Linked DNA regions of Caenorhabditis elegans. The protein of the gene in region 1 purifies or fractionates together with the protein of each later gene. This does not show direct contact. Each region holds a gene or a part of one and is shown in the gene's direction. Other genes may lie near its edges.

Region 1 (5,564 bases):
GTTGGTGAAAATTTAAAATATATCTCAAAAGTTCAACGGGTGAATTCTAATAGTCTAATAAATACGTTTAATTGCTGATATGTTTGTGAACTGCTCTGGGGAAAGAATTTTCTTATTGAAACGGAAAGTAAGACACTATCAACAGTAATCACAAAAAATGAAGTCCAAAAAACCAATGTTGTAGAGAATGTGTACTTCCTTTCTACATATTTATTTCATCATACTACACGTAAATACGTTTTTTGGTTTCTACAAATCGACGAACCATCAAGTTCTGTCTGAATTCATTCAACTCACAGAAAGTCTATGTGATTTGATCTCTCAACTAGAAGTTTTTGCATGAATGGTTGATAAAACTACATTTATAGGGTTCTAGTATGTATTTGAAAATTAGTAGAAATTGTCAGAAGTGCGAAGCGAGGTAGTTGCGGTCCGGAAAATTTTATCAGTTTGGTGATTTCAGGAATTTCACATTGTGCGATATAGGAAAACCGATAATTGTGGCAATGTTCGCTAGCTTGGAAGTTTGATTTGGAGCTACTCAAGTGTTTGAATTATTCTGAGCGTTATAAATAATTATGTTTCTAACAGTTTAACTGTGCACCAAAACAGTATGCACCAAAACATTTAATTATTTTTGTTCATTAGAGAAATGGGCTTCACTTTTTCATTTGGTTTTGAAATATTGGAGAGTAAAAAAAGACATAATTAACTGTATTTTAACGCGAGAAGAATCAAGCTCAAGACAAAAAAGAATTGACCCGATGATCAGGATGTTCCGGGAAAAGAAATGTGTGATCAAACAAAGATGACACTGATTTGTGATTGTTAAGTAAAATCTTGCTCATTGGACATTACTTTCAAATGTTTCTGCCGACTTTTCTTTCTCATTTCTCCCCCTCACAGACAGTCAGTAGGGAATGCTGTAAGGATCGTGTAATTTTGACGACGAGGCAAACAATTTCGAGCAACAACGCAACGTAAGGAGGTGGAGGATAAGTGTGCCGTTGGAGACTTTGCGGAGGAGGGAACCGAAATGAAAGAGAAATAAAGAAAGATGTGAATCTGCCTTTCCCCTCCGTAGATATACAACAAACAGTAAGTCTCTGCTTGGATGGCTCACGGGAAGCTCGTGCTCCTGTCGGGTTGGCGGCGCGGGCGGCTGCCGCAGATGCAAAATCCTCCCACTTATCGCATGTGCATTCTTGAGAAGAAAAGACAGTTACGGGTGCCCTCCTTTCTCTTCATACCCTCTTACTAATCCTCCAATTATTTCCACATTTTCTTGTTTTCTGAAGTTGCCGCCAAGATTTTGAGAGTTGAATTTTCAAGAGCTCATGCGCGAAATGCCGAAAAACATCCGAAATTTGTCTGTCTCAGATTTTTTTGTTTCATTGTTCACATTCTTCATCGGTTATGTAGATTTTATGTTTCTTTTTATTACTTCTTCTATCCGTATTGCACTCTTTGGATCAGCTTTAGGAGATTTAGTCTCGATTTTAATTTTTTTTTAATCAAAAATATTTCATCAAGCGAAATATTAAAAGCGTCTTCTTTTTTCTATAATTTTCCTTTAGATGTTTATATAATAAACCGATATTATAAGTTGTCTAATTGCAGTAATTAGGCTGTTTGGGGAAATACTTTTTCACCACTTTTCAATGATTCAATTATATGTTTAGTTTTTTGTTATTTGAATTTTTTGTGAAAGTTTTATTGTTTTGTCGAATAGAGTTTAACATCACATACCCAGTCACAATTTTTCAGAACTCTCGGAATCAGTCCACTACTTTTTCATTAAGATCTACAATACTTGATGATTTTTAATGAACCTCGTTGTTCATTTTTCCAATATTTTTTTGTTTCGCCAACGCTTATCTTTGTTTGCATTGTGATACTATCATTATATTTACTTGTTTTTTTGTTGCAAACCTCTTGATCTTGCGATGTTTCGAAATACCTTTTCAGCTTCTATATTTTTTTAATCAGTGCCACCCAATTATGAACTTGGTGTTATTTCAGACATCGCGGCCGGTGTTCCTCACATAGAGAATCGATTAGAAGTTGTTGTACAGTAAGAAAGGAAAAAAGAAGTAGATCAAAATGACACACGAAGCGGATCCCGGCTGGCAGTTTCTTCGCCAGTCGCCAGAACAGGTAGATCTATCTTCTCTCACACTCTTTCGATTTGTTTGCATTTTACTTTTTCTTACTCTCACGCAATGATGTACTAGAGTCAACAAGAATATCTCGAGTATTTTTTGATCCGCGAGGGAATCGATGTTGTATCTAAGATTTTTTATTGGGGAAGATTTTGCAATGAGTTCATTTTTGATGTCTTGCAGTTTTATTAAAAGATCAAAACACAGATCAACATTGATCGATGGAACTGTATAATGAAAGAGATAATTTAGTTTATATGTATCTAAAAGAGCAAAGACGTATGGCTTTTTGACAATGAATGCATTTCTTCAAATATACGATTGGATGTGTCACAACATATTCATTTGAAACATTAAGGAGATAATTATTTTTGTAAAAGTAATATCTGTATTTAGGTCAAACTTAGGTGTCGAAAATATTTAAACCCTAATTCTGAGTACTCATTTCGAATACTTTATAACTATATATAACATTTAATATCCTAATAATCATCACTTGATTTTAATTCAAGCGTTACGTGATTTTATCTTAAAAAATCAATAAAACCCATCGAATACATAATTCAAGTTTTTACCATGGGAAGACAGAATTATTATAGATTATTATCAGTCAAACTATCCTGTAGAGACATCACAAATGAACATAAAAATTCCCCCAATTCATTCGTTATATTTCAGCTATTGGCGGCCACGACGAAGAAGTTCGATTCGAAGAAAAATGTGTGGGTTGCCGACCCAGAGGAAGGATTCATCGCCGCTGAAATCAAGTCTTCGAAGGGAGATACAGTGGTGGTGGTAACATCGAAAGGAGTTGAGAAGACGATCAAGAAGGACGATGCTCAACAGATGAACCCTCCAAAGTACGAGAAAACTGAGGATATGGCTAACTTGACATTCCTCAACGATGCTTCCGTTCTTCATAACCTTCGTCAACGTTACTATTCGATGATGATTTATGTATGTTTTTGAATGTTCTGAGGAAGTCATGAAAACTTTAAAACTATTTCAGACCTATTCCGGACTTTTCTGTGTCGTCATCAACCCATACAAACGTCTCCCGATTTATTCGGAATCGGTGTGTCAAATGTATCTGGGAAAAAGGAGAAATGAAATGCCACCTCATTTGTTCGCCGTCTCTGATGAAGCTTATAGAAATATGACCAACGGTATGGAATTTCAATTTTAACTATTTTTGATAATGTACATTATCAGATCGTGAAAATCAATCCATGTTGATTACCGGAGAGTCTGGGGCTGGAAAGACTGAAAACACGAAGAAGGTCATCTCGTACTTTGCAATGGTCGGAGCATCGCAACAGTCGAACAAGAAAAAGAGCAAAAAGGACAAAGCGCAAGTCTCGCTCGAGGATCAAATTGTGCAAACCAATCCGGTGCTGGAAGCTTTTGGTTGGTGGTTAGGGTAGTGTAAAGTGGGAGATCAAAAATCTTATCAAATGTTTGACAAACACTTGTGAAAAATTAGGGCTCTTGATTATACAATTACCAGATTTTCCCATGGAAAAAAAAACTTTTATATATTAAAAATTGTGAGGTGAGAACGTAGTGTATCATAAGTTAATAAAGGTTACAATGATGTTCTTTAAAGAAAAAATAAACAAGTACAACCAAAAATACCGTAACTCATAGAACCCGCTGACCTAGTAATCACAAAACCTATATACTACAGACAAATTGTGATGTTTAAGCCTTTTGCGTGCAAGTAGCCTTACGACGTGTCAACTCTTTGCCTTTGGTCACTTATCACCATATCCCGTGTACTCTTTCTATCCCTCTTGTCACCCAAAAAATCCTACCTCACAATGTGTTATTTGCTTGTATTTACAAGGAGATGACAACGCGTTGTGTACGAGATGTCGATTCTCGAGTGTCTCTTCTATCTGCCTTACTTTCTCTATTTTCACTTCATTTTTGACTTTGTTTGTAGATGAAACATTTCGAGGAAAAAGTGAGAGATAGAGAGCCCCACATGCATCCTCTTGAAATGCCAATAAAGACAGGGGGACATTTGGAAATTGAAGGACATTTTTTTGAAAAGTGAAATTTCAGGTAACGCCAAAACTGTTCGTAACAACAACTCGTCAAGATTCGGAAAATTCATCCGAATCCATTTCAACACCGGCGGTAAAGTGGCCGGAGCTGATATTGAACATTGTAAGTGGTTTGCAGTTTGATATCAGAGCGACTAACAGCATCACTGATCGGTAATTACTGTAAGAGTAAGGTAGGGTTACTGTGGATTGCAATTTCAGCCACTCAAAAGTTCAAGCGAAGGGCTGCTTTTCGAATTTAAAAATTAAGTTCATTTAAAGTTGTTGAGATCGTCAAAAAATCATATTTCGTAGCGTTATTGAAGGGTTTTTACAAACAGGCAATCGCCGAACCAGAAAATTTAATTCTCAACTTGCGTGATCAACACTTTCTATTCAGATCTTTTGGAAAAATCTCGTGTCATCAAACAAGCTCCCGGAGAGAGATCGTACCACATTTTTTACCAAATTTATTCTGATGCCGTTAAGGGACTCAGAGAGAAGCTTTTCCTTACTCGTCCAATCAAGGAGTACACTTTCGTGTCGCAAGCCGAAGTTACTATTGACGGAGTTGATGACAAGGAGGAAATGCTTATTACTGATGAAGCATTCGATATCATGAAGTTCACTGCTACCGAAAAGTCTGAACTTTTTGCAATCACTGCCGGTATCATGCATATGGGAGAGCTCAAGTTTAAGCAAAGACCAAGAGAAGAGCAAGCAGAGTTGGAAGAAGGAAAGGGTAAGTTGTGGATCTTCAAAAAAACAAATGTTTCAAAATTTGAATTCAGAAGGAGAGTTGGCTTGCAAGCTTTATTGCGTTGAATCTGAAAAGTTCATCAATGCTCTATTGAAGCCACGTGTCAAGGTTGGAACCGAATGGGTCAATAAGGGACAGAACCTGGATCAGGTTAACTGGGCTGTTGGCGCTCTTGCTAAGGCTCTCTTTGCCCGTATGTTCTCTTGGCTTATTAGAAGGTAAGAACAACATTATTGGCGCTATTTTATTTTGAACTGTTTTTGCGTAGCAAGCGGGGATTAAAATGGTACATTACAAAAGCTTAAAAAAACCAAAAAAACAGTCACTTACGTTTAATTGAAGATTATTTTCAGATGTAACAAGACTCTTGACGCTCAAGACTTGTCTCGTGACTTCTTCATCGGAGTTCTCGATATCGCTGGTTTTGAAATTTTCGATTTGAACTCTTTTGAGCAGCTCTGGATCAACTTTGTGAACGAGAAACTGCAACAATTCTTCAATCATCACATGTTCGTGTTGGAACAGGAAGAATACAAACGAGAAGGAATTCAATGGGAGTTCATTGATTTCGGACTTGATTTGCAGGCTTGTATT
Region 2 (8,632 bases), on another chromosome or scaffold:
TCGGAAATTGAAAAAAAAACCTTTACCTTGTACGTACATAAATCAAGTTTAGTTTGTCATGTGATTCATTTCAACGTATCCTTGTGTTACCTGAAACAAAATCTTTCCCACATCCCACCAGTTCTTTTTCTATTTACTTTTCCATTTTAAGAGCACAGAGCAGACAAGTATCTCGACTGAAGAGCTACTGACATTCGAGAGTTTTTGTATCCGAGGGAGCAAAGAAATAACTAAATTCGATTTTGAAGTGAGAAGAGGGTCTCCTACTCCTCTGCCGAAAAAAGAAGCAGTTACACACTAAATTGTTGATTTTCGAGATTCCTTTCTTTTTCCACTTCAAAAAAAATGACTACTTGTGTACTTTATTGGAAGTTTCTTCTAAAAAAATCATGGTCACAGTTATGCAATTTCTAAAGCTTATCCTCTTTAAAATTTGTAACTCTTCTTCTAGGGTCCGAATCGGGACTGTCTTTGAAAACTAGAAAAAAATTTAATAAGTTAGAAACCAGATAAACTACCTGGCCAAGTTAGGAAAAAAATGCTGCTCGGTTTTTTTCTGTTTTCGAAAAACATACCGTTCGGTAGCACATCTTAAAACAAGAAGTTTCGAAAAATTTGAATCGCTAAGATTTTTAAAAGGTTGGTATCTATTTGTTGCCAGAGTGTTTTAAAATTATGCCACTAAACTTTTTTGTTAACATGCTAAGAAAGTTTGAAAAAAAATCACGAAAAAATCAAGTAGGAACCATTGACATTGCAGTGTTCAAACTTCAAAATTGCCCAAGGGTAAGGTTTTTTTGCAATTGTTTCAGTTGTGCCTCTGGAAACTTTACGGAAGATTATTTTACTGAAGACGACGTGGCTCAATTAGTAATCGTGACCCGTCTTCACTTTCCATTTCACATTTGACATTTTATGGAGTAAGAGCCATTGTCTCTTAGCCACTGACTCCCCATTTGTCTCTAAATGTACTCTTGTGCTCCTTTTTCCCACTCAACTAGTCAGTCAGTCCATTCATTCCTTTCATCCACCCTTGCCATCTCGATCAGAAACGTTTTTTTGTTCAACCGAGCACCGCCCGTTAGAAGAATTGGCTTTGTTGTTAGCCACTTTTTGTATGTGAGAGTGTGTGAGACTGCCCTCAGGGAAAAGGTGCATGATGACGGACCCGTTTTTCCAACATTTTCCAAGGAATGTCGTGATTTTTTCATGAGTTTTCCTACATTTAGAAGATATACTCAAGAAATATATTCATGTCAAAATTTGAATTGAATTCTGTGTTATTATTCGATGCATTGAAACTACTAAGTTCCATTTTGCAATAGAAATCTGAAAACAGTTCGAGAAGACCAGGATGAACAAAAATTATCCAAAGATGACAGTAGATCTCAAAGTTGTGATAAACCTAGCTTTTTCGAAAAAAGCGTCCAAAATCTTTGGAAACCACATCCACAACTATTACTGTTTCACTGTTTCAATACATATCTCATTGATTACTATATATACATAGTTGATGTACAGCTATTCGGAGCATTACAAGAAAGATTAAAGTAAGATTAATTATGATGAATTTGATCTCCGCCGTGAATTTGTTTCGTAGTTTATAACCAAAATATTTTCTCATTTAAACAGTTTTCAGCGTTTCTTAAAACTTACTGTAAAGAAGGTGCACCGAAATCTGGGAAATATTTTTAAATGGCTCCAAATTTGCCCCTGATTCCGAATATCGATGTTAAAAATTTCAAAAAAATTGCCCTGATTTCATATTTCACATCGATATTCGGAATCAGAAAATTTGGAGTAATTTAAAAATATTCCCAGATTTCGGTACTCCACCTTTAAGATGTTCTAAATATGGAACTGGATGAATCTATCTGCATCAAATTTTGAGTGAGTATCATTTATAGATACATTCACCTACTTTTGATCAGAAAGCAATACAATTCTACTGTCTCACATGCCTTGTGATTTTCTATTTTGAGAACTCAGGTTACTACTTTCTATAAGTACACTCAAATTCAAAAAAAAAGACGAAAAACAGTAATCCTGTTTATATTTGAACCATATCTTCAAGTTTCAATGTTTTCGGGGTCCTGACATCGATTCATTCAACATACATATGAAAGTGTAAAGATTTGTATCATGCTTTTGATAGCCATGATTAATTAATTAATTTCAGATTACTTTCTCATATATACATTTAATACCCGAATAGCTTTCTACAAATCACACGGTTTCTTTTTTCTGTGACCAATTTAAATATTCAAGACCAGTTTTTGAATTCTTTTGTTTCGTATTTTCATTAATATTTCTCGTGTTCTTCAAGCAATTTGATCTGCCCAAAGTCCAAAATCAGACAGAAAAATATGAAAAGTAGCTCCACCTCTGCATTCTCTTCATCCTCCTCCTTCTCCTCCTAAGCCACGCCCATTCTCCTCCAGCTTCTTCCTCGTTTTTCGCTTCTTCGTCACATAGACAGAGACGGAGAAAGAAATATTGTGCTTTTTCTACTGCTGGTGGTAGTGGCTGCATGTTGTCACTGACGCCTTGATACCCTCCTCTTTTTCTATTTTTTCGTGTGTCTGCGAGGACCATCCTATAATTATTGTAGTCCCCACGACAACGAATCTCGACGATAACACTCCCTATCTCTCGATGTGGTGGATGTGAACGAGGCATCATCCAATGCACCTGATTTCGTTCATTTTTCTACCACACTTCTCTCACATCTTATCTGAAACCAACTTGGCTTCTGATTCTTCACATCGTCAAAAGTTATGCGATTAATATGGACTTGTTGGTTGTGGGTGGCTCTCGTCATCTCATTTACTTTTGCAGGTATGTCTTTACTTTTTTAAGAAGTGAAAAGATCAACATATAAATATTCAAATGTTTAGAGGGAGGTTTTGAGGGGGATTAATAAAGATTGGTGGTCTCTAGTGATGAGTCAAAGTTTGTTAATGCTAATCTTTGACAACGATTTTTGTTTTTTTTTAATGCTTTCCCTCGCAATATCTATAGATATTGTTTATTATTATCCAGTATCAGAGGATATTCAAAGAAAAAAAAATAAAAAGAAAAACAGAGATGTCTAGGTAAGAATACATCCACAATTGAGCTAATTATATTCTTTTTCCAAGCATATTTTCCGTTTGCATTCTACATTTCTCGTTGTCATGAGATATTTTGTAAAAAGAAAAACTGCTTCTGATGATGACGACAATTGAAAAATTCACAAAAAAAGCCCGTTAGATTCCAGATGTCCGAGAGCCCGAATCGCCTATTTTCTTTCACAACGAGAAATTAATGACGATTCGTTTCGTTTTATTTCTCGCCGCCGCCGCCACCAACTGTTTTTCATCTTTTTGTCGAACTCTCGGCTCTTCCTCGAGACATCTGATTTATATGTTGTTTATCATCATCATCATCATGATCAACTTCTATTAGTTTCCGGGATTGAGGAGGAAAAAAACACGCGTTTATCTGGTGCTCGTTTGAAAAGATGAGATGAGCTGCCGCAGAAAGCCAAACGACTAACCGCAAAACCACTTGTCAAATCACGTTAAGTGATTCATCATAGTCAACTTTTTGAAAAAAAATTGAACTTGAAAGTATTTTGGGTTCAAAGTACACTTACAATAATTATTCAAAAAAACGGGGGTTTCGAGCAATTCAAATCAACAAAACAGTCTACTTTTACATTCAAAAATTAATGTAAAAGTATGGAAAAATATTTGAATTGAAAATAAAATTATTTATAAAGTTAAAATAATTTTCAAAAACCTGAAAATGTTCTACCGGTATCAGTCTGCCAAAAAATATTTGTATCAGTTCAAAATGGAATCATCTTGCAATGGAAAGCAAAAATAAATATATTATCCAATCAATCAACCACTTTTCTATGCCCATACATCTTATTTTTAATTTTAAATACATGATTTCGTAGTGTTGTAGATTTTCCGAGTTTAAGAGCATCCGGTTTTTATGTACATGTTCCCAAAAACAACATGATACACATCGTAAAATCGTAAATTTCATACTATAACTTTGAGATTCATAGAGCTAGACGCTACTATTTTATCACCAAATTTCTGAATTTATGTGTAAAACATAAAATCTTTGTTTTGATTCTTGGCATTTTCTTTTCCAATTTGGTTTCCAAAAATTTCGAAAGAATTGAAAGCAAAGGGTTATTTGTATTTTGCCTTCAGCTTCTTTATCCATCGTGAGAACATCAGGAAAATTGCGTTGCGTGTCTTTGTGCACTTTTCTATCGTCTTGGCTGTCGGTCAAATTACACATACACCCACCCAATTTCTTTCCTTCATCAAAACTATTCCACTTTGCACTTCAGATCCATCCGGGGTCCGGAATCCTCTCGCACCTTAGATCCCTTCCTTTTTCATACTTCTAAAAGCTTCCCGTGCACTTTTCTAGAGATAGTTTTGTCTACTATTATCCAAGCGAATAAAAGTTGAGCGTTTCCGGTGCACTTTTAAAAAGTCAAAAGTCGTTTGCTATTGCAAAATGGAATTTAATTCTCCAAACTTTTTTCCACTAAAAGGACCTACCAATATGGTCCCTCTACTTCCATAGATAAATTGATTATGCGCGTAATTCATAAATTATGAGCAAGATGAGCGGACTTCGTGCTTTCATTTCATCTGGATGTGCACTTTCCTCAACTATGCATTAACAGGGTCCAGTTGAAGAGAGAAACAGAGAAACTCATTCAGTTTTTAAGTGACCCAATAATGACTAAGACATTGGACCAGCCGGAAGTCAAGACCACAGGCGACCCAATTGTTTGTTTATACAAGTCGAATGGCATGCGGAAAAAGGTTTTTCGAAATGTCTCAAAAGCAGCACAACGAGTAGTGGACTCCATTAAGAATTTGGGGTTATTTCTTTTTTAATGAGCGTTTGTTTAGGACCTTGTGAACAATATTTGTGGTAAACAAAACAGTGATAATTGTTTAGAAATCAATGATAATTGTTTAGAAACAATATACTTTGCTCCTACAGTTCTTAACCTTATCACTATGGTATGGAATGTTAATTTCAGGGTTCTATGGTAAATTTTGCAAACCTAATTTTCTTCTGAAGCACCTATACTTGTAGACATCATAATAAATAAAATACTGTTATGAAAAATGTTTTTCTTTTGAAAAACGCATATTTTAGTTTTAAAAAAACTAGATTTAAAACTTGTCACATTGAATTGGAAACTTTCAGATTTTCTATAAAACATGCATGCACCTTTTTGGTACCAAAAAATAGCTCACAGGAAGTATTTTTGCTCTTCCGGCATCACCCTAACTCTATTCCACTTTTCTTGTCTAGAGTACATATGTTTCGTCATGGAGATCATCTAGATTTTGTTATTTGAAACAATAAGGATTTTTTCTCTCACACATCGTTAGAATCCATTTTTCTTGTTAGGGAAGGACCTTCTTCATTCAAAATTTGATCAACGAAAGGACGATAGCTTGTGAGAAGTGTGCGGGGATAAAGAAAAAAGAAAAAGAATGGATCCCCCTGGGTACATTATATCTTAAACGCCTCTTTTCTCTCTTATACAAAATGAAACCACTCTTTGTCAAAAGTGTATTGTGAAGGTTAGATTTTGAAAAATGGTGATGGGATTGGGAATATCACGCTGAATAATAGATATGATCAAAATTTTTCTATATTTTTGGTGAAAGAAATTTTAATATTTAATTTCCAGGAGGACATCAAGTAAAATGCTTCTGCGATCGAGACTCTTGTGACGATAACTTGTTGTGTCAAGGAGATTTTTGTTTTATCGGGTTGCATCGAAGTGACGACAGTGAGTTTTTTTGATGGCGGGCATCTAGGCAACATTGAAAAGTTTATGGAAACGTTATATGTATGTATACTGAAGAAAAACAAATAAATAGCAAGAAAATGTGGAACATTTTTGAAATTCACAAAGTTCACTTAAACCCGATAAGAATATTTAAAAGTAAAGCTTGGAGGGTAATTCGCCGTTTGTAAATGCCTGTGACCACGAATATTATAGAGGCATTTTGCAAATAGCGAATTTCACCGCCGGACCACTAACATTTTAACAGTACTTTGCAAATCCCGACTCTCGGTGGTCGCAATTTGCTGAATATTTGCGATTTTACAAGTATCTTATTATATCGCTTTTGTATAACCACATTCGCAACCTACATTTCATAAGTATTTTAAAAACCGCGAAAAACTTGTGTAGAGATTTGAGTTCAGTCTATTTATCTTTGCCGAAAGTCTATAAAAGTGCTCATTTCGGTATCATAGTCAAAAGCAAACTCACAAATGACTTCATAAAACAAAAATATTTGAATGATTTCAAAAAAAAAAGATTTTAGTATATTTTATTTTTGTTTAGAATATTTTTAATTTTCTGAGTTTTTTTTTGGCAATTTTCTAATTCAAGAAAGTACTCAAAGTTGCTTACGTCTGCTAATAAATTCTGACTTTAACATTTTTTATTTACACATTTTGAGAAAACAGAGTTGTATATTTTCCGTAAAGATTTGATTGAAATTGAAAAATTTGAAATCTGAATCATGAGAACCGTTTTAATACTAATACAATTTAAAAAATAATTAAAAAATCGAAGCGCGAAAAAAATCGGGCAAGCGAAGGTTCATGAAGCTTATTCAAAATTTATGATCTGCATTTTGAGTCGAGAACAACATCAACGACGAGGAGGCGAAACGAATTATCAGCGAGTTCAATCAGAGCTCTTCTTCACCATTCATCTTGCTCTTTTGAGCCCACCGCAACAGCCACCGGGTTCTTCAATTCGTCGGCTCGTTTTTGGAGCTCTCTGTCTCTTGAAAAAACATGACGCATTGATGTGGCAGAGTGTGGGTGCAGTTGGCACACCAATTCCCGCGGGACTCTCCACTAAAAAGAAGAACCAAAACAAACTTCTCTTCAAATCTTCCCTATCTCTACTACAGAGCTCCTCTCCTGTGAGGCTCTGCACAAATTGTGTCATTCACACACACATACACACATACAAAGTAGTAGAGAATTCAAATTTGTGGAATGGAGAAGAGTGCGTGTGATTTTAAGAGACATTATGTCTACGTATCTCTATTAAATGTAATGTTTCGAGGGCTTTTCGTTTGGGGATGAGCGCCCTTCAGGCGTGTTTTGGGTGCAATTGGGCGCGAAAAAGAAGTTCCTGGACCAGAGTAATTTTGTTGAGAGTTAGGTGTTTTAAAAGAATAAATAATATAACATTGATCTGAAGTGAGCAGATAGATTATAAAACCAATTTTCTTAGTACAGGTACTTGAAAAAGTTGAACCAACTTATATATTCAGGAGATGTCCCACGACTTCGACAACACTGCGGGACTATTGACGAACTACCGTTTTTGAATGCTCATGTGAATTGTGACGAGAGACAGGACAACTGGCAAGAAGTATGCAGATGCTCGGAAGATTTTTGCAACACCTTCGCATTTCTGAGATCATCGATTGATGTTCGACCTGATCCAAAGGATTCCGTACAGTTTGTGAAACAAGATGCACAGTATCCGATTGAACATCGTCCACAAGTCAGTTTCAATTCTATTAACTTCACACAATAAAACTCTACATTTGCAGCCAGAAACGACGTATCGCCAGAATAATTCCTCACTTATTGTCCTTCTGGTTATCATTCCATTATCAGTCGGAGGATTTGCTGTGTGTCTAATTTTCCTGAATTACCATTGCAAAATGTGTTGACTGATTCATGGATTCTCCTACTTTCTGTTAGCATTTCAGTGAGTTTCAGGGACCGTGTGTGTGGTCCACCAATTTTCTCGTAACCTGTGATAATTATGATATTTCATTGTCCAATAAATGTATTTCACCTGGTAACAAAGTTAATTATAATAATATTTATATGCTAGCTGAAAACAATATGGCAAGGATGTGAAAGTATCATAGTATAAGTATTGAATTAATTATAAAACACGTATTGTTAACCGATTGAGAGCCAACTTTGTGAACGAGGATGTCCTCTATCACGGTTGAGCATTGAAACGTCGTGCATTGGAGGACGATTAAAATCAGAACATTCTGATATTTCATCTCGTGAAAATACCCGACGAAGTCCAGTTTGACGACTTCGAGGTTCAGTTATTGTTGTAGTGTTGGTCGGAGTGTGAGCTCTATCTTTTGGATGATTTCTGTAGTAGCAGAACTGAAATCAAATGATCATGAAAATACACTTCGAAAAACAAAAATATTGACTTGTTTTCTAAACTTACACAAGAAAAACCAATTAGACAGATAACACACAGAAGGAAGATTGAAGCTGCGAGTAATATTGCTGCAAGAATCACAGTTATTCTGGTTACATCACGTCGTAGTTTCTTACCATAAAGGATAACCTGGGCCGTATTTTTCCTTCCGTGCTCGTTTGAAACATGTGAAGCTGTCAACGTATGAGGCTCTGCTGTCAGTTTTTGCCCAGAGAGGGTCATTGTCCATTCACCAGTTGACACTTTTTCAGATACTTCTCTTGCAAACCGTCGAGCATCAACATCACGAATTGTGAATTTGACAGTGTTGTCATCCCGAAGAATTACATCTTCAATGCTTCCACGTGGAATTTTGAAACG

What was found. The genes of interacting proteins can lie anywhere in the genome.
Region 2: the proteins of myo-5 (region 1) and C08G9.1 fractionate together in Caenorhabditis elegans (co-fractionation; one large-scale study listed by BioGRID). This does not show direct contact.

What each region holds. Positions count from the first base shown.
Region 1 is NC_003283.11:8,106,948-8,112,511, forward strand, and holds the start of myo-5 (MYOsin heavy chain structural genes), read left to right. Parts: upstream 1-2,022; 5' UTR 2,023-2,103; coding exon 2,104-2,157; intron 2,158-2,840; coding exon 2,841-3,119; intron 3,120-3,171; coding exon 3,172-3,328; intron 3,329-3,374; coding exon 3,375-3,569; intron 3,570-4,229; coding exon 4,230-4,334; intron 4,335-4,610; coding exon 4,611-4,952; intron 4,953-5,001; coding exon 5,002-5,188; intron 5,189-5,323; coding exon 5,324-5,564.
Region 2 is NC_003282.8:7,656,283-7,664,914, forward strand, and holds C08G9.1 (Activin_recp domain-containing protein), read left to right. Parts: upstream 1-2,480; 5' UTR 2,481-2,777; coding exon 2,778-2,838; intron 2,839-5,601; exon of another isoform or gene 5,602-5,693; intron 5,694-5,728; coding exon 5,729-5,830; intron 5,831-6,861; exon of another isoform or gene 6,862-7,009; intron 7,010-7,343; coding exon 7,344-7,579; intron 7,580-7,628; coding exon 7,629-7,751; 3' UTR 7,752-7,884; downstream 7,885-8,632. Other genes in the region: C08G9.2 (uncharacterized protein), read right to left, coding at 7,990-8,211, 8,279-8,340, 8,389-8,632.